4 linked regions of the Canis lupus familiaris genome follow. The protein of the gene in region 4 purifies or fractionates together with the protein of the main gene of each other region. This does not show direct contact. Links are inferred from orthologs where the notes say so. Each region holds a gene or a part of one and is shown on either strand. Other genes may lie near its edges.

Region 1 (4,966 bases), on a different chromosome or scaffold from region 4:
TGGGGTGTACACAAAACCTCCCGGCACTACCCGTCCCTCCCAGGCAGGTGCTCCGGCAGCAGGAAGCCCCAAGTCAAGGCGGCAGGGGGTGGAAAAGGCTCCTCCCAGACATCTGCTCTAGACTTCCCAGGCACACAGCCCCCCTAGGCTTGCCAGGGCCCCAGGCTTCTCCCAAGAGAGAAAAGGGGCCCGGGGGTGGGGGGGTACTTACAGCTCATGAAGTCGTAGCTTGGTCTTGCCAAGCTCCACACCTGCTCTTTGGAGCACCAGTTAACTCCTCTTCAAGATTAAAAAAAGGAAAAAACAAAACACCCCAAAACAAATCCCAGTCAGGCCACTCAAGGCTCTGTAAGTCCCTGCCTGCAGTAAAGCTCAAGCTAGGAAGTGTGTGACAATGTCCTCTCCCTTGCCCGGCAGCAGCCCATGTCCTAAGTGTGACTCTACCTCCACTGCCCAGGACAGCAGGGCACGTGGCTGGGCCTAATGCTGCACCTCCAGAGAGCACGCAGCACCCTGCCTCAAAGCCTGTGGCCCTGGCGCCCCTGGTGGCCCAGGCCTAAGAGAAGGGAACATACCCCTCCATAAGCAGAAAATATTTTGAACTCTGGAGTGAACCCAACAATCTGGGTTTCTTTGGGTTTTGTTTTGTCTTTCTTTTTTTTTTTTTTTTTTTTTTTAAGATTTTATTTATTTATTCATGAGAGGCAGAGACACAGGCAGAGGGAGAAGCAGGCTCCTTGCCGGGAGCCCGACATGGGACTCGATCTTGGGTCCCCAGGATCAGGCACTGGGCTGAAGGCGGCACTAAACCACTGAGCCACCCAAACTGCCCCATTTCTTGTTTTCCTTAAGCTCTTCTGTCGAGTATGATCCACAGCTAGATCCACTGTGTGGAGGGAGGTGGGTCATCACTTCCCCTCTTTCCATAGGTTCCCTAACTTACCCCACTTGGCCTGGAAAGCCTTGCTCTTCTAGCTCACTTCATGTACCCTAACAGACAGGACCCCCTTTGCTCCTCTGAAGTCCCATCTCCTGGAAGTCACACAACTGGACTTAGAAAGAGGCCAAGCAGAATCTTACTCGAACTTAGCCAGGGTGAACTGGGTCTTCCCTCTCCCCTTGGATCCTCTACTGTCCCTTCCTGGAGGAGGAGGAAGAGGTTATGAAAAGCTGGTGGGACAGGAAGCTTGCAGAAGCAGAAGCTCAGTGCCTACCCTTTGGTCCCCAACCCTAGCAGCCTGGGGCTCCCCAGCCAGTCAGCTGGACCTTGCCACTGGCCCAAGGCCACTCCCTACATAGGGCTGTGGAACCCATTATCCAAGGGCTTTCCCCAGGCCACACTGCTCACAGCTTTTGAACAAAGGCAACTGGAGAGGCTCCTATCTCTTCTTAGACCAAAGGCCCAGAGAGACTCCAAGGCCTGTGCTCAGCTAGCCGGCCCAGGGGCTGTAATGACTCATGTCGAGACCCCTCAGCATCAGCTTGGACCCATGAATCCCCAAGTGGGAAAGCAAGATGGGAAAGATGGGAGTCACTGGCATTATCTCTGTCAGTACCCAGATATTTTGTTTTCTTTACAGAGAGGAGGGGGGATGAAGAGTAAGTGGGAAAAATCAGGGTCCCCAGTTAGGCGTCTCTTTAGAAAGTAAGGGCCCAGGGCTCTGAGGGGGGCGGCGAGGGAGATAAGCATATCCTATCCTATGAGGATCCATTTGTGGAGCCTCTACCTGGAGACCAGAGAGTCAACCCCAGCTTCCTTGGGAGATTAGCAAAGAAGCCAGTGCCAAACGCTGGGGCACACGGGTTGGTTGGGATATGACATTGCTAGAACCTAAAGGCTAAATAAGAGTGCAGAGAGAGTGCAAAAAAGGATGGGCACAATTCCCAAGCATTCTGGGGCAACCAGAAACAATGGACTGGAGAGGGGGGTACTGATGAGCCCCACCAGCAGGGTCAGGCCCTAAGGATGGAGTCTCTACCTCTCCTCGGCCTTTGAAGCTGCAACCTGAGACGCGCTCTCTTGGAAGCCAAACTCCAAAGGGGTCAGGACAGAACTCTTTGAAGCAACTCTCACAGACAGGCTCCTCCAGCCCCAGACCAGCAGGGCTCAGTGGAGCCTCTCTGCTCCTGCACACTAACCAACTCCTGGACACTAGGACACCAGGCAGAAAGCCAAAAGGAGAGTCGGCCCAGAACGGGCTGGGCTTTCCGCCTGCCTCAGGCCTGGCCACCACCAGCTCTGGTCGAACCCGGAGCCACCCCACGGGAGGGCTCCTGGGCCTGACCTGGAGCAGACCCTGCCCGGCACAGGCTGGGGTCCCCTTGCTCCGTTCTCCACCTCCCGGGCCGCGGGGAGCCAGGCCCTTCTTCCTCCCCATCAGCAGCTGGGAGCCATCTCAGACACGCTAGAACTCTGCCAGTTCCCAACTAGAAGAAAAAAAAAAAAAAAAAAAAGCCCAGCGCAGACTTGGAGTGGGACCAAGGCCAAGGCAGGGTAACCCTGGTTTCTCCGTGAGGGCCCTTTTGCAAAACTTTCCCAGCACTTCCCCGAGCCCCCTTCCCTAGGACCTACACTAGACTTCTCGGTCCGCTCGCCCACAGCTCCCGGGCTCCGGTTCCTCCACCTCTCACTCAGAATCCCCGTTCCAAGAAAACCTCCAGACCCTCCCAACCGCCCCCAACCCTCCAGCCCAGGCTCGCTCTGACCCTCTCCCCGAGCTGCCCCGCCGCCCGGCCTTGCCCTGCACCCCGTCCCGCGCACTCCGCACGCCGGGCCCCCGTGCCCCGCCCGGGGGCTGCCCCGCGGCCCCGACTCCAGCCCCCATCGCCCCATCGCCCCGGGCGACCTCGCGGCGCCACCCGCCCGCCCGGCCGCGCTGCTCACCTGGTACTGCGCCGCGGGGCCCGCGGGGCCCATGGGGCGGAAGGCGGCGGCCCCGGGGCCCCCCACGCCGCCAGCCGGCCCTGGCCCCCTGAGCGCCGGTCCCGGCAGCATGCCGGGTCCCGCGGGCGGAGGCGGCGCTCCCAGGGCCGCGGCAACGGCGCCGCCACCAGGACTCAGCGGAGGCAGCGGGAACCCGCCCGCGCCACGGCCCGACATCGCTCCGTCCCGTCCGGCGGTGTCGCGATCCGGGCTCCGGGCTCCGTGTCGAGTCCGCTCCGCGATCCGTGCTCCGGGACTTCCCGATCTAAATTCCGGGTTCTGGGGCTTGTTGATCCGGGTTCCGGGATTTCCCAATCCAAGTTCTCAAGTTCCTCCTCGCAGACCCGGTTTGGGGCAGGGCCGATCCTGATTCCGGTCCTGCCCGGGCAATTCCGGATCCGGGATCTGCTGCACGCCCGCCTGACGCTCGCGGCCTCCGGAGGTTTGGCCGCCGGAGTCCAGTTACCCGGAGGCGGCAACTAACTCCCAGCCCCGCCCAAACAAGCCCGGCGCTAGGCCCCGCCTAGAACCTGCAGTCCAATGCCACGGTGCCGCTCAAATCCCGCCCCTCGCGAGACCCGCCCCCAGCAAGCACCGCCCCTAACCGCCAGCCGCCCCCCCCAGCCACGCCCCCACGCCTCAGGCCCGCCCTTGACCGGAGGGGCGGAGGCGGAAAGCTGCGCAGGAAGCGCTGTGCAAGGCGCGGGGTCAGAGGTTGAAGGTCACCTAAGGGCTTCAACAGAGAATGCGTGGGGAGTTGCTGATCTCTGCCCCGTGGAGCCCGCCCCCCGAGGTTCCCAGTTACACTCCCTGAAAATAGTTGACTTAAGTCGCTTTTCTATGTTTTAGGCAGTAAAAATTCAGCTTAGAGCTGTTTCCTGAGGCAGAAGAGCCACCAGCTTCACTTTGTTTAATAGCCCATCCTGCTGGCTCAGAGCTGCCAAGGGACGTCAGCTGCCCCAGACCCAGTCCAGCTGTGTGACGGGCTGACTTGGCCCTGCGCCGAGCTCTTATCGCATATTTTTAACGTGGCTCTGCCTCACTTTAAGGAAGCCTAGTACTTTACTCCACAGGAAATGTTTCTAGGGGGAGGAATTTTGCCTTGTGAGAAAACTCCCTGCAGTTAAATAAGGTCTTTCTCCAGGATTTATAGTACTTAATTGGAAAAAAAATTCAATACCTTTTCAGAAACCACTATCCTGTGTCATAAGGTATTCAAAATAAAGCCCTTCAGCTGTGTTAGCCTACATGCTGGTCATCTGGGGTTTCCTCCCCCTGATACAGGCCAGTGCTTCTTAAACTTTAATAAGCACAAGAAACATCTGGGGCTTTTGGGCAGCCCGGGTGGCTCAGTGGTTTAGCGCTGCCTTCAGCCCAGGGCATGATCCTGGAGTTCTGGGATCGAGTCCCATTCGGGCTCCCTGCATGGAGCCTGCTTCTCCCTCTGCCTGTGTCTCTGTCTCTTTCTCTCTCTCATGAATAAATAAAATCTTAAAAAAAAAAAAAAAAAAAAGAAAGAAACATCTGGGGCTTTGGTTTAAAATGCAGATTATGATTCAGTATGCCTGGGGTTTGGGGTAAGGCTCAAGCTTCTGCATTTCTTTTATTTATTTATTTAAATTAAAGTTAGTTAACATATAGTGTATTATTAGGTTCAAGGTAGAGTTTAGTGATTCATCAATTGCACATAACATCCAGTGCTCATTACATCAAGTGCCCTCCTTAATGCCCATCACCCAGTCACCCCGTCCAAGCACCTCCCCTCCAGCAACTCTGTTCTCTAGAGCCAAGAATCTCTTATGGTTTGCCTATTTTCATCTTATTTTTCCTTCTCTCCTCCTGTGTTCATCTGTTTTGTTCCTTAAATTCCACATGAATGAAATACGATTTTTGTCTTTCTCTTACTTCGCTCAGCATAATACACTCTAGTTCCATCCACATCATTGCAAATGGCAAGAGTTCATTCTTGATGGTTGAGTAATATTCTATTTGAGATACACAGATATACAGATAAAATCTTCTTTATCCATTCATCCCTCGATG
Region 2 (3,267 bases), on a different chromosome or scaffold from region 4:
GTTTTAGAGAAACCAGTTTTGACTCCACATAAGACAGTTTTCTGGGAAAATCATGGAAAGATGAGAGGGGCCCCTCCACCATCACCAGGTGCTTGAGAAGAGGCCGAGGACCAGTGACAGGAAAAGGGGACGGATGAACTCTGACGACCCAGTGTGTTACGGTCTGCCCCTCAGGAAAACTGGGAAAAATGTCCCTGGCCAGAAAAATAAGCATTTCATAATTTGCTTATGGGTGCATTCTCCCGTGTTTTTTATAGAAACAAAGCTAGCTCTTAATGCCTCAAAATTGTAAGTGCAACTGTACGTATGTTTATGTGGATGCATATGGGGGCAAGAATCCACACTTTTATAAGCTCTTCAGAGATACAGGGCTCTCAAAATGTAAGGAGGTCCTTTCTAACCCAAAGGTCAATACCACAGGGACTGGCAGGCTTCTCTGTAAACAGCCAGCCAGAGTGTTAAATATTTTAGGCTTTGTGAGCCACATATAGTCTTGCTTCAATGTTCTTTTTTTAAATCTCCTTTAAAAATGTAAAAACCATTCTTAGCTTATGAGCTATACACACTAGCTGCAGGCTATAGTTTGCTGACGCCCTGACTTAAGAATCTCGTGGCTTCTAGAGGGCTCTCCCTCAGCTGCCTGCAGCTCTTCACTGGCCTCTGACAGTACTTCAATAGGAAAGCCCTTCTACAGTTCATGGAGAATTTTGTCTGTAAATTGATATTTTATGGTTTAAAAAAAAAAATAAAAGAACACACTACTTCTCCCCAAAGTAGATTTATAAACTGGGCATGACAGATGACAATAGCTGTGTGCTCCCCTGCAGCTGCCAAAGGACTCTCAGACTTTGTTCATGCCTCCTTCCCTAGGGGGTTGACAGCAGTTTGACCTATATTACAAGTCAGCTTAACCACACAGTGAGCCACTTTCTCTGGTCTGTAATGCTGGCCCACATCCTTTGTGCACAGTAAAAGCCACTGGGCATTCACATCCTCCTGAGTAAGCTCCTGAATTTCTATAAAGGAGGGGTTGGGGCACAGAGATCTGGCTGGAGGGGGACCTGCAGAGAGACCACCACTTTCTGGTGCCACCACTGGTGTGGCTAAAGAGCTTCCACAAACTTGGAGCATTATTAAGCAAATTGCTGGAAGGGCAGAGTGATCCATTCAGGCTCTAGGTTCAACACCTTTCCAGAGTGGGCAAGGGAAATAGGAAGAAATGGGACACTCAAACCTGTCATGTTCAAAGAGCTGCTACCAAAGCCTCATGTAACTACAAACTGAGTTTCCTGGACTGGTTGAAGGAAGTTAAACCGCTCCTTCTGGTAACTGTTTTCCACTCAACACCAGTCGTCTCAAGGGCTGTTGATTTTCTGCATTTCTAAATGCATCTGGTGATAATGTGCAAACGTTAGACCCTGGAAGTCAAAATACTAGGAAAGCATTCTGAGTGAAGGCAAAGCATCTATTCCCAATTTTGAAAGAACAGATTACTAGTAAGAGAACTCCTTTCCTGTTACTGATAAGATACTTGTTCTGATAAGAGATTAGGGCAACCTACCTTCAGGAGGCTCAGACATGGACGGGGTGAGACAGTACATATGGTAGCCACGGTCACAGTCATCACAGAAAAGCAGCTGGTCCTAGAAAAGGCCAGATGGAAGAGGAAGAGGCAGGTGAGTGACTGGTGGGCTTCAGGTGGCCCACCAGGGGTGGGCAGAGATGGGGGCTTCTGCAGACACTGCTGCTTTCAGGAGGGGTGGGGCAGATGGCAGGGAAGAGCAGATTCAGGAATTTCTGGATAGGAAATTCAGGCTGCCGTCCTTCTCCATCCAGACTGAGTCGCTGTCATTCCACCTGAACTGTACCAGCATCCGAACTCAGCTCATGGCCTCCACTCATCCTTTACATTCTATTTTTCAGAGAGTGAAGTTATCTTTTAAAAATGTTACGACATGGGCAGCCCTGGTGGCTTGGCGGTTTAGCATCGCCTTCAGCCTAGGGCATGACCCTGGAGACCTGGGATCGAGTCCCACCATCAGGCTCCCTGACTGGAGCCTGCTTCTCTCTCTACCTATGTCTCTGCCTCTAATAAATAAATAAAGTCTTAAAAAAAAATAATGTTAAGACAGGGCAGCCCGGGTGGCTCAGTGGTTTAGTGCCGCCTTTGGCCCAGGTGGCTAAGTGATCCTGGAGTCCTAGAATTGAGCCCCACATCAGGCTCCCTGCACGGAGCCTGCTTCTCCCTCTGCCTGTGTCTCTGCCTCTCTCTGTCTCTCTCATGAATAAAATCTTAAAAAAAAAAAAGTTAAGATAGCACATCACTCTCGATGAAACCCTCAGACCTGGTGATGGCCACCTTCCAATCCCTTCTCCTAGTGTGCTCCCGCTTCAAGGAAGCCCCAGCCAGCCAAACAGCCTTGGTAAACTTGGCCCGTCTGCCTTGAGGCCCCATCCTGGTTGCTTGTCTCCTGGGCATGCTGGGCATGCTGTGGCCGCAAATCTCCTTGGACTGGCTCCTCTGTTTCATCCAAATCTCAACACCAAGACCACCTCCTTGGAAAAGCCAGTCCTGACTATCTACATCAGGTACCAGATGACTGCCCCACTGCTGCTGTCCTTCTCTTCACAGCATGCCACAAAACCGTCGCTCCTTTCCTTGCCCACTGCTTGTTCCCCACAAGGAGGTAAATTCCGTGAAGGCAGGGACCTTGTTGGTCTTGTTTAGCACGATGAGCACCTGGAACGGTATCTGACGCCAAGATGGCACACAAGAGGCACTGGCCAAGCAAGTCCTCCCTGGGGTGTGGGGGACAGCACAGAGGGGAGAGAGGGGAGGGGGATGGCAAGGGGACACGCACATCGTTCTCGGAGGTGCCACAGATGTTGCAGCACTTGCACTCGATGCACTGCCAGCGGTAGGTCTTCACGGCCGCCATCATCACTGGGGTGAACTGCAAGCAAGAAGGGTGCCCTAGGGGCGGGAGGGAGAGGGGGTGTCACACAGGCAGCTGGGGCACGCAGAGGGCTCCCGGGCAGGCCCTGGGCCCCAGACTGGAGGTACCTGAGCGGCCGCAGTCGGAGCAGGACACCAGCTCCTCAGGCTGCCCCGTCTTCTTATTGATCTTGGAGTCCCCAAGGCAGAAGTCACAGTAGTTGTTGGGCAGGGCCAGTCCATCAGGACCCTTCTTGGCTACAGAGAGGAAGAAAGTTCTGACGAGGCTCACGGGGGCCTCTAGGCACCCAGTGGCCCTACAGGAAAGGCTT
Region 3 (4,737 bases), on a different chromosome or scaffold from region 4:
CAATTGCCAGAATAAAAGAAGATATTAACTAGAGGAAGTGGGTGCAACTGAAGCCAGACTGTTGGTAGAGGCCACAATCACACAGTCATTAACAGTGAATATTTATTGGGCATTTACTATGTGCGTGGCATGGCTCCAGGAATTGCATTAGATATTAACTTACTCTCATGTTACAGTTGAGGGAATAAAGATAAATGAGTTGTCCAAGGTCACTGGACATGAAGAGCTGGGATTTTCCCAGGAGCAGTTAGGCTCTAGAAATTTGGTCATAATCACCCTCCTATACCTTAATCCCTCTGGACATAATCACACCAAAACACACAGAGACAAGAGCCACACACCCTTGAAACACACACATAGAGCAACACACACTGGCAAACAGATTCAAATAAAATCAACCAAAACACACGCATTTTAAGTAAACTTTTAATTGAAGCATATAATATACATAGGGAAAAGTGTACAGTTCGGTGAATATTCAGAGTAAATGTACTGGTGGTGGTGGGGGGATCAGCACCAGATTCAGATTAAGAAACTGAATGTGACCAGTCCAAGAGCTCCCTTTTGGCCTCTCCCAAGAGTGACCACTATCCTGAGTTCTCACACCACAAATTAGTTTTGTTTTGAATTTCATATAAAAGGAATCATATAATGCGTACTGTTGTATCTGATTTCTTTCATGAGACTTGTCCCTGTTGTCTGTGTAGCAGGATATCACTCTCTGCTGTGTCCACTGTGTGAACAGGCTACAATTCATTTTCCACTCTACTCCTGATGGGCTGTTTCCAATTTGAGGCCGTGCTCTACGGTGCTATGAAGATTCCAGTACACATCACTTGGTGCTCACACCTACGCATTTCTCTCAGCTTCTCTAGAAAACTGCCAGTTTGGGTGGCCCCGGTGGTGCAGCTGTTTAGCGCCGCCTGCAGTCTAGGGCGTGATCCTGAAGACCCTAGATCGAGTCCCACGTCAGGCTCTCTGCATGGTGCCTGCTTGTCTCTCTGCCCCTCTCTCTTTCTCTCTGTGTCTCTGTGAATGAATAAATAAATAATTAAAAAAAAAAACCTGCCCGTTTTCCAAAGCATCTCTATCCATTTTCACTACCCCAGGAACATGAGAGGTCTGGTTGCTCTACTCCTTTGTCTACACTTGATATGGTCTGTCGTTCTCATTTTAGCCATTCTGGTGGGTGGAGACCTACTCATATTTGCAGCATCTGGCCAGAAATGGGCACTCTGAATAGACTGCTGAATGAATGGCTGAGGAAGAGCTGGACAGGGCGGGAGCGACAGCCAGGGGAGGCTGGACACACGCTCTGCACGCAGCACGAGGGCCACCCCCGCGCCACAGACGCTCGCCGTGAGAGTGACCCTCTCGCGCCCCCTCCTCCTCCCCGCGCCCACGTGGTCTGAACGCACCTCCCCGGCCCGGCGGCGCGCGCCCTGGCGCCAAGCTGTCCCCAACCCTCCCTCTTGGCGGCGGGTAGGGGGCGCTGCGCGTCGGGGCGCCCCGAGGGGGCGGGCCCGGTCGGGGCGGGGCCGGCCGGCTTCCAGGCCTGGGCTTTGGCCGCCCGCACCGCCGGGCCGCTCCGGGGACGGGCCGGGGCGGGGCGCGGCAGCAGGAAACGGGGCGGGGACTCGCGGAGGCGTTGGGGAGCGAGGGAGGGCGCGGCCAACTCCCGGAGGGACGGCAGGCCGAGAGAGCGGCGCCCGGGTCTGGCCCGAGCCTGAGCCCGCCGGACGGGAGGCGGCCCAGCCGCGGGCTCGGCCTCGGCCCCAGTCCCGCCAGCATGGCCGGCCGGACCGTGCGGGCCGAGACCCGGAGCCGGGCCAAAGATGACATCAAGAAGGTGATGGCGACCATCGAGAAGGTCCGGAGATGGTGAGCGCTGCCCGGGGGCCAGGGATGGGACCCGGCGGGACCACTCCTCCCCCAAATGCGTCTAACCTCCCCTTCGCCGGCCGTGGCCGCAGGGTGTTAGGTGTGCCCCCCGGAGCTACAGGGCTCTGTCCCCCTTCTGGCTACACCCTAGGGTCTACAAAGCGTGTTCCCAAGCCGTACCCTCATTTATGCCCCGCCCCCTTAAGCTTTGACACTCCTCCCTCAAGTATGTCCAGGATCTTCATTGCTATGGTCCCCAGCCAGGCCCTCAGCCTTGCTCCCTTGTATACCCCAGGGGTCTGCAGAGCCATGGCCCCAAACCGTGCTCTCTCCTTAGAGGCACCCCTGTTTATGGCCTGGGGTCTGCAGGACTCTCTTTCTCCTTCTAACCATATGCCCCATTAGCGAAACCGCAGCACCCCCAAGTCTACAGGTCTCCCCAGATGTGTTCAGCTCCTGGGGGGGGCTCTCTCCTCAGAATTCTGACCCAGTCCCCCCCTCCCACAGGGAGAAGCGCTGGGTGACTGTGGGCGACACTTCCCTTCGTATCTTCAAGTGGGTGCCAGTGGTGGACCCCCAGGAGGAGGTGAGCAAACTCCCCCACTGTGCACCCTCAGGCAAGCCCCTTCCAATCCCAGCCTCCACCTCCAGTCCTGCTCTGAGACCTCAAATGCAGCAGCCAAGACAGATGTTAACAATTATTAGCAACTCCACCCCCTTCTCCCTTTTTCCTGCTTCAGACCCCTGAGTTCAAGCCCTAATCCACTGTGCCAGCCTCCTGTAGGGCCTTTTGCTGCTCTGTGCCTCAGTCTCCTTATTTGGACAGTGGGGGCTTTGCAAGCACTAACTGGAAAGCCGGAGCTGACCCTTATCCCTCTAACCCCCAGGAACGACGGAGGGCAGGTGGCGGGACAGAGAGATCCCGAGGCCGGGAGCGGCGGGGCAGGGGCACCAGTCCCCGAGGGGGTGGTCCCCTCATCCTGCTGGATCTCAATGGTATGTAGGGATCCTGGGATTTGGGGGGGTGTTGTGGGATGGGGAATTGAGGGAGCAGATTGGGGCTCTCAGGCCCAATGCTCTCGGCTTTTGCTCCCACAGATGAAAACAGTAACCAGAGTTTCCATTCGGAAGGCTCCCTGCAAAAGGGCACCGAGCCCAGCCCTGGGGGTACCCCCCAGCCCAGCCGCCCTGTGTCACCTGCTGGACCACCAGAAGGGGTCCCAGAGGATGCTCAGCCCCCACGGCTGGGCCAAGAGAGAGGTAGGACCAGGTGCCTCCCTGCAGCCCTCTCTTCTGAGTTGGCTGGTGGCTGAGTTGGAGCCATCAGCTTACCCCTACCTACACCTGCTCCCCTCCTTGTTATCCCCTTCCAGAGGCCTTCCCTGACTCCTGCAGAAAGTCACCATCCTACCTCCAGTAGCTAACTGTCTCATTCATCCGGCTTCTTTGGGTCTTTTTTTTTTTTCCCTTTGGGTCTTTATGTAATTAATCACTGTCTGAGATTTTCATGTAAATTTTATTTTTTACTACTCAAATTTCTTCCCCCACTCCCACCTCATGTTGGCTTCCTGAACTTTGGGCCCATGTTGCTCCTGTCCATTACTAGATCCTCAGAACAATGTGGGACACATAGAATGTACTCAATAAATATTTGTTAAGGAATGAATAATAGTGATATTCCTGAGGGTGATTAATAAGTGATAATGATAGCTAAGACTTATTGAGCTCTGTGTGCCAGATACCATTCTAAGCACTGAACATGTTTGATTTCATTTAATCCTCACTATAACCCTATGAAAGTTATAATCCCCACATGTGGATGAGAAGCTGAAACCCAGAGAAGTCTCCTAAGCTCACATGGCCAATGAGCCAGCATCTTGGGCATAATTTTGCCTTAGCTCCTCTTTCTTCCATATAGTCAATCCCCTGTCTGGTCGGAACCACCTTGCAAATGTGTCTCCCTTCCTATAAGAGCCATCTCTTACCTGTGCCTGGCTCCAGCCTCCTTGTGGGTCTCCTCTTCCCTAGTCACCTCTACACAGCTGCCAGAGCAACTTTTTCTAAAGCATAGATATGGCAGGCTCATTTTCCTGCTTCAAAGCCTTCAATGGCTCCTATGGCCTTTGACTCCTCCACTTGGCACTCACGGCCCTTCGTGAACTATCCCTGTTGGTCTCATTGTTCCTTTCCAGGAATACCATGACTTGGGCCTATGGGCCTATGGGCTGTGTCTAGATTGTACCGTGCACTTGGGTACCTTTACTAATACAAAAACAACAGGCATTTATTGAGCGCTTTCTATGTGCTAGACACTGTACTGAGGGCTTTACCTGTATTATCTCATTGCATCCTCACAACAGTCTCATGTGGTAATTACTATCATTATCCCCACTTTGCAGGTGGGGAAACTAAGTCCAGAGGAATTAAGTCACTTGCCCAAGGTCAGGATTTGAACCGGAGGAATCCAACCTCAGAATCTGTCCTCACAAACATATAGTCTGTCTGCCTAAAATGTGCTCCATCTCCACATTTGTCTACCCGATCAGATCCTACTCACCCATCAAGATCCCACTTAAATGTCCTTGCTGTGTCTTCCTCTGGCCAATAGCAAGGTTCCCAGCTCACTCCTTGGTGTCCCCAACCAGGGTCTGTGTTGTGGCACGGAGGAGCCACTCAGGGAATTCTGTTAACTTGATGTTCCAGATCCTGGGGGCATCACTGCAGGCAGCACGGATGAACCCCCAATGCTGACCAAGGAGGAGCCTGTTCCAGAATTGCTGGAGGCTGAGGTGAGAGAGGCCAGATGGCTGGGCCCCCTGGGTCTCAGAGGCAGTGGGGGGTTCTGGGGCAGCTGAA
Region 4 (3,485 bases):
GTGATGATGTCCCTTAAGTCAGGTCTTCTAGCTGAAAGTACTTGGGCTCTGGACACTATTAACATTCTCCTGTACGATGACAGCACCGTCGCTACCTTCAGTCTCTCCCAGGTAAGCCAGTAACCCATCCATGGGCCCAAGTGGCTTAAGAAAGGGCTGTAGTGCACAGTGTCAGCAAATGTGAGAGGTGATTGGCGCCCCCAGCGGACGTGGCGGTCCCAGAGAATTGAGTTGGGAATAAGTCACTTCACGCTCTAGTATTAGCACACACATACTTGTTTTTATCACAAAGAAACTATCCCCTTGTGTGCACGCACATATGTGCGTGTGCATGTGCGTGTGGAATAGACTGTAGTAAAGGTGAGTTCCTTAGAATGACTGTCAGCAGGCAGGCGGGAGAGAATCCAAATATATCATCAAGCTGGGACTGGAGTCAGTATTGGGTATGCAGGAGCTTTCTCTGGGACATACCCTGCTTTCTAGGGAGACCAGGCCTCTTTCTTTTAATTAAAAAGAAATGTTATATTATAGAAAATGTAGGTTATAGGGAGAGGTAGAGAGAACAGTTTAATGAACCCCCATAGCCCCATTATTTGGCTGAGATAGTTGTGAACTCAGCGCCAGGAGCGTTTCTTGGTCCATTTCCTCCATTTCTGCCTCTCCACCTTATTTTGAAGCAGTCGTGTGAAAGCCTACTACTTTTAATAAGATTAAAGCGCGCCCTTGTCCAGTGGTAGGCCTAATGTAGCTTCCAGTGTAACTGCTAGAAAAGAGAAGGGAGCAGAGGGTTAGGCAAAATGCCCAAGAGCCAACTGAGCTACGAACTTTATTTTTTTAGCTACAAACTTTTAAAGAAATACTTAGAAACAAAAATGAAGAAAGGTAATTCTCCCTACTGTGGATGAACAATTGTCTGCGGGTGAAAAAAGCCCAAACATCTAATTACCTTGCTTCTGTTGACATTGGACCAGAATCTTCCACCTTATGTTCCTTCTCATATTTAAGTCCTCATAGTAGCCCTGAAAGGCAGTTTTTCACTGGATCAGAAGTGTATTAATAAGGTTATAAACATCTCATGAAGTCTATTGTAACAGAAAATACTAAAAACTGTATATACTTCCTTTGCTCAAGTAATGACCTTTCATCCTTAGGTTAGCAGAGTGAACTACTATTGATCACACATTTTAATAACCAGAATTGCTTTAGTGACTTACCCCTTACCCCCAGGGAAAAAGTCAACTTTAAGGGGTGGGAGGGTCCAAACCCCCAGATCTTCACTTGAAAAACTGTGGGATGTGCCTTCATCCCCTAAAAACAGAGTACTTTGTGGGCAGTACTTAAGTGTCCCCTTACTTCTTAATAACAGTTCTAAATCCGCTTTCAAGAAATTGAGAGCAGGATATGACAGTATGGGTGATTTCCAAAACACCTATCATTGAAGAATCCTTCTGTACTTACCTGTCCTCTACCCACCCAGATGTGGTGGGGTGGGCATTGAGGGAGGAGAGCTGGGCAGTGGCTAATCACAGGGTTATCGGTTTTCTCGAGCCAAACATTTGCTTACGGGACACAAAACTGATTCTCAGAGTTGCTTTTGTCTTTCAGCTGCAGTTGTGAGAGCTGCAATGTAAAAGTGCATTCTACGAGACATTCTAATTCATTTATCAGGGACTAAATTGATTTGTTTTTAATTTTCTGTGTTTATGAGCTACTACATTGCTGAAATTATCTTCTCCCAAAGATATATGGAGGATGTAAATTAGAGTAACCTATGGCACCTGAGACAAAAATAACCGTAAAATCCTAACAATAATAACCATAAAAATCCAGGCAAGCAAGTCTCAGATAAAATAGCAGAAGAGAACAGACTCACTTTGGGTGAATGAGTCTATAAAATCCAGGTTCCCACTCTTCTAGTATAGAGCACCTCGTACCTAAATGAGAAGAAAAGACAATATTAAAAAATAAGAAAATAACAGTGAAGGTTTCATACTGAAGGAGTGGGAAAGTAAGCAGCAAATAGAAAGCATGGTAAACGTTGGCTTCGTTAACAATATAAAATTCAGGGAGACCTTTCTAACTCGTGTGTAGTCTCTCTTTGGCCTAGCCAACAAGGAATTAAAACATGTGAAAATTACCCTTAAAAAAAATGTGTTGGTAGCCACCAGGATTGACCCTTTTCAGTCCTTCCTGACCTGATGACATTGTACCCGCTCTTGTTCTTGTCCTTCCTTCTAGTTGTCTGGATTTCTCGAACTTTTAGTAGAGTACTTTAGGAAATGCCTAATTGACATCTTTGGAATTCTGATGGAATACGAGGTGGGAGACCCCAGCCAGAAAGCACTTGATCACAATGCAGTGAAGAGAGACGATGGCCAGTCGTCGGCTGACGATTCCGGGAAAGAGGAGGATGACACCGAGTGCGTGGACGAAGAGGACGAGGAGGATGAGGACGAGGACGAGGAGGACAGCGGGAAGCCAGAGACGGAGAGGAGCAGCGTGACTCTGGCCTCTCCCACTGCCCCCGCAGATCCAAAGGAGAAGCCCCGGCAGGCCAGTAAGTTCGACAAGCTGCCCATAAAGATAGTCAAAAAGAACAACCTGTTTGTCGTCGACCGGTCGGACAAGCTGGGTCGCGTCCAGGAGTTCAACAGTGGGCTTCTCCACTGGCAGCTCGGTGGCGGCGACACCACCGAGCACATCCAGACTCACTTTGAGAGCAAGATGGAAATCCCTCCTCGTAGGCGTCCGCCTCCTGCTCTAAGCTCCGCAGGTAGGAAGAGAGAGCAAGAAGGAAGAGGGGAGGCTGAGGAGCAGCAAGAGAAAAGCATCATCGCAACCATCGACGATGTCCTGTCTGCTCGGCCGGGGGCGCTGCCTGAAGACGCGAACCCCGGCACCCAGACGGAGAGCGGTAAGTTCCCCTTTGGGATACATCAAGCCAAAAGTCACCGGAACATCAAGCTGCTGGAGGACGAGCCAAGGAGCCGAGACGAGACTCCTCTCTGCACCATCGCGCACTGGCAGGATTCCCTGGCCAAGCGCTGTATCTGTGTGTCCAATATTGTCCGTAGCTTGTCTTTTGTGCCTGGCAACGACGCCGAGATGTCCAAACATCCAGGCTTGGTGCTGATCCTGGGGAAGCTGATTCTTCTTCACCACGAGCATCCGGAGAGGAAGCGAGCGCCGCAGACCTATGAGAAAGAGGAAGACGAGGACAAAGGGGTGGCCTGCAGCAAGGATGAGTGGTGGTGGGACTGCCTGGAGGTCTTAAGGGACAACACGTTAGTCACATTGGCCAACATTTCTGGGCAGCTAGACTTGTCTGCTTACACAGAGAGCATCTGCTTGCCGATTTTGGATGGCTTGCTGCACTGGATGGTGTGCCCGTCTGCAGAGGCACAAGACCCCTTTCCAACGGTGGGACCCAACTCTGTCCTGTCGCCACAGAGACTCGTCCTGGAGACCCTCTGTAAACTCAGTAT

Evidence for each region.
Region 1: the proteins of ARID1B (region 4) and SMARCD2 purify together in Homo sapiens (affinity purification with mass spectrometry; 5 studies listed by BioGRID and IntAct, with this or other methods). This does not show direct contact. The link is inferred for Canis lupus familiaris from reciprocal best matches to the Homo sapiens genes ARID1B and SMARCD2.
Region 2: the proteins of ARID1B (region 4) and DPF2 purify together in Homo sapiens (affinity purification with mass spectrometry; 7 studies listed by BioGRID and IntAct, counting the BioPlex papers as one, with this or other methods). This does not show direct contact. The link is inferred for Canis lupus familiaris from reciprocal best matches to the Homo sapiens genes ARID1B and DPF2.
Region 3: the proteins of ARID1B (region 4) and BCL7C purify together in Homo sapiens (affinity purification with mass spectrometry; 4 studies listed by BioGRID and IntAct, counting the BioPlex papers as one, with this or other methods). This does not show direct contact. The link is inferred for Canis lupus familiaris from reciprocal best matches to the Homo sapiens genes ARID1B and BCL7C.

Annotation. Positions count from the first base shown.
Region 1 is NC_049230.1:15,127,344-15,132,309, reverse strand, and holds the start of SMARCD2 (SWI/SNF-related matrix-associated actin-dependent regulator of chromatin subfamily D member 2), read right to left. Parts: upstream 3,101-4,966; coding exon 2,885-3,100; intron 428-2,884; exon of another isoform or gene 212-427; intron 1-211. UniProt on the Homo sapiens protein: Involved in transcriptional activation and repression of select genes by chromatin remodeling (alteration of DNA-nucleosome topology).
Region 2 is NC_049239.1:52,339,069-52,342,335, forward strand, and holds part of DPF2 (zinc finger protein ubi-d4), read right to left. Parts: intron 3,194-3,267; coding exon 3,065-3,193; intron 2,975-3,064; coding exon 2,862-2,974; intron 1,644-2,861; coding exon 1,562-1,643; intron 1-1,561. UniProt on the Homo sapiens protein: Plays an active role in transcriptional regulation by binding modified histones H3 and H4. Is a negative regulator of myeloid differentiation of hematopoietic progenitor cells. Might also have a role in the development and maturation of lymphoid cells.
Region 3 is NC_049227.1:17,466,375-17,471,111, forward strand, and holds the start of BCL7C (B-cell CLL/lymphoma 7 protein family member C), read left to right. Parts: upstream 1-1,692; 5' UTR 1,693-1,789; coding exon 1,790-1,881; intron 1,882-2,388; coding exon 2,389-2,467; intron 2,468-2,768; coding exon 2,769-2,877; intron 2,878-2,979; coding exon 2,980-3,141; intron 3,142-4,438; exon of another isoform or gene 4,439-4,584; coding exon 4,585-4,670; exon of another isoform or gene 4,671-4,737. UniProt on the Homo sapiens protein: May play an anti-apoptotic role.
Region 4 is NC_049222.1:47,282,312-47,285,796, forward strand, and holds part of ARID1B (AT-rich interactive domain-containing protein 1B), read left to right. Parts: coding exon 1-111; intron 112-2,238; coding exon 2,239-3,485. UniProt on the Homo sapiens protein: Involved in transcriptional activation and repression of select genes by chromatin remodeling (alteration of DNA-nucleosome topology).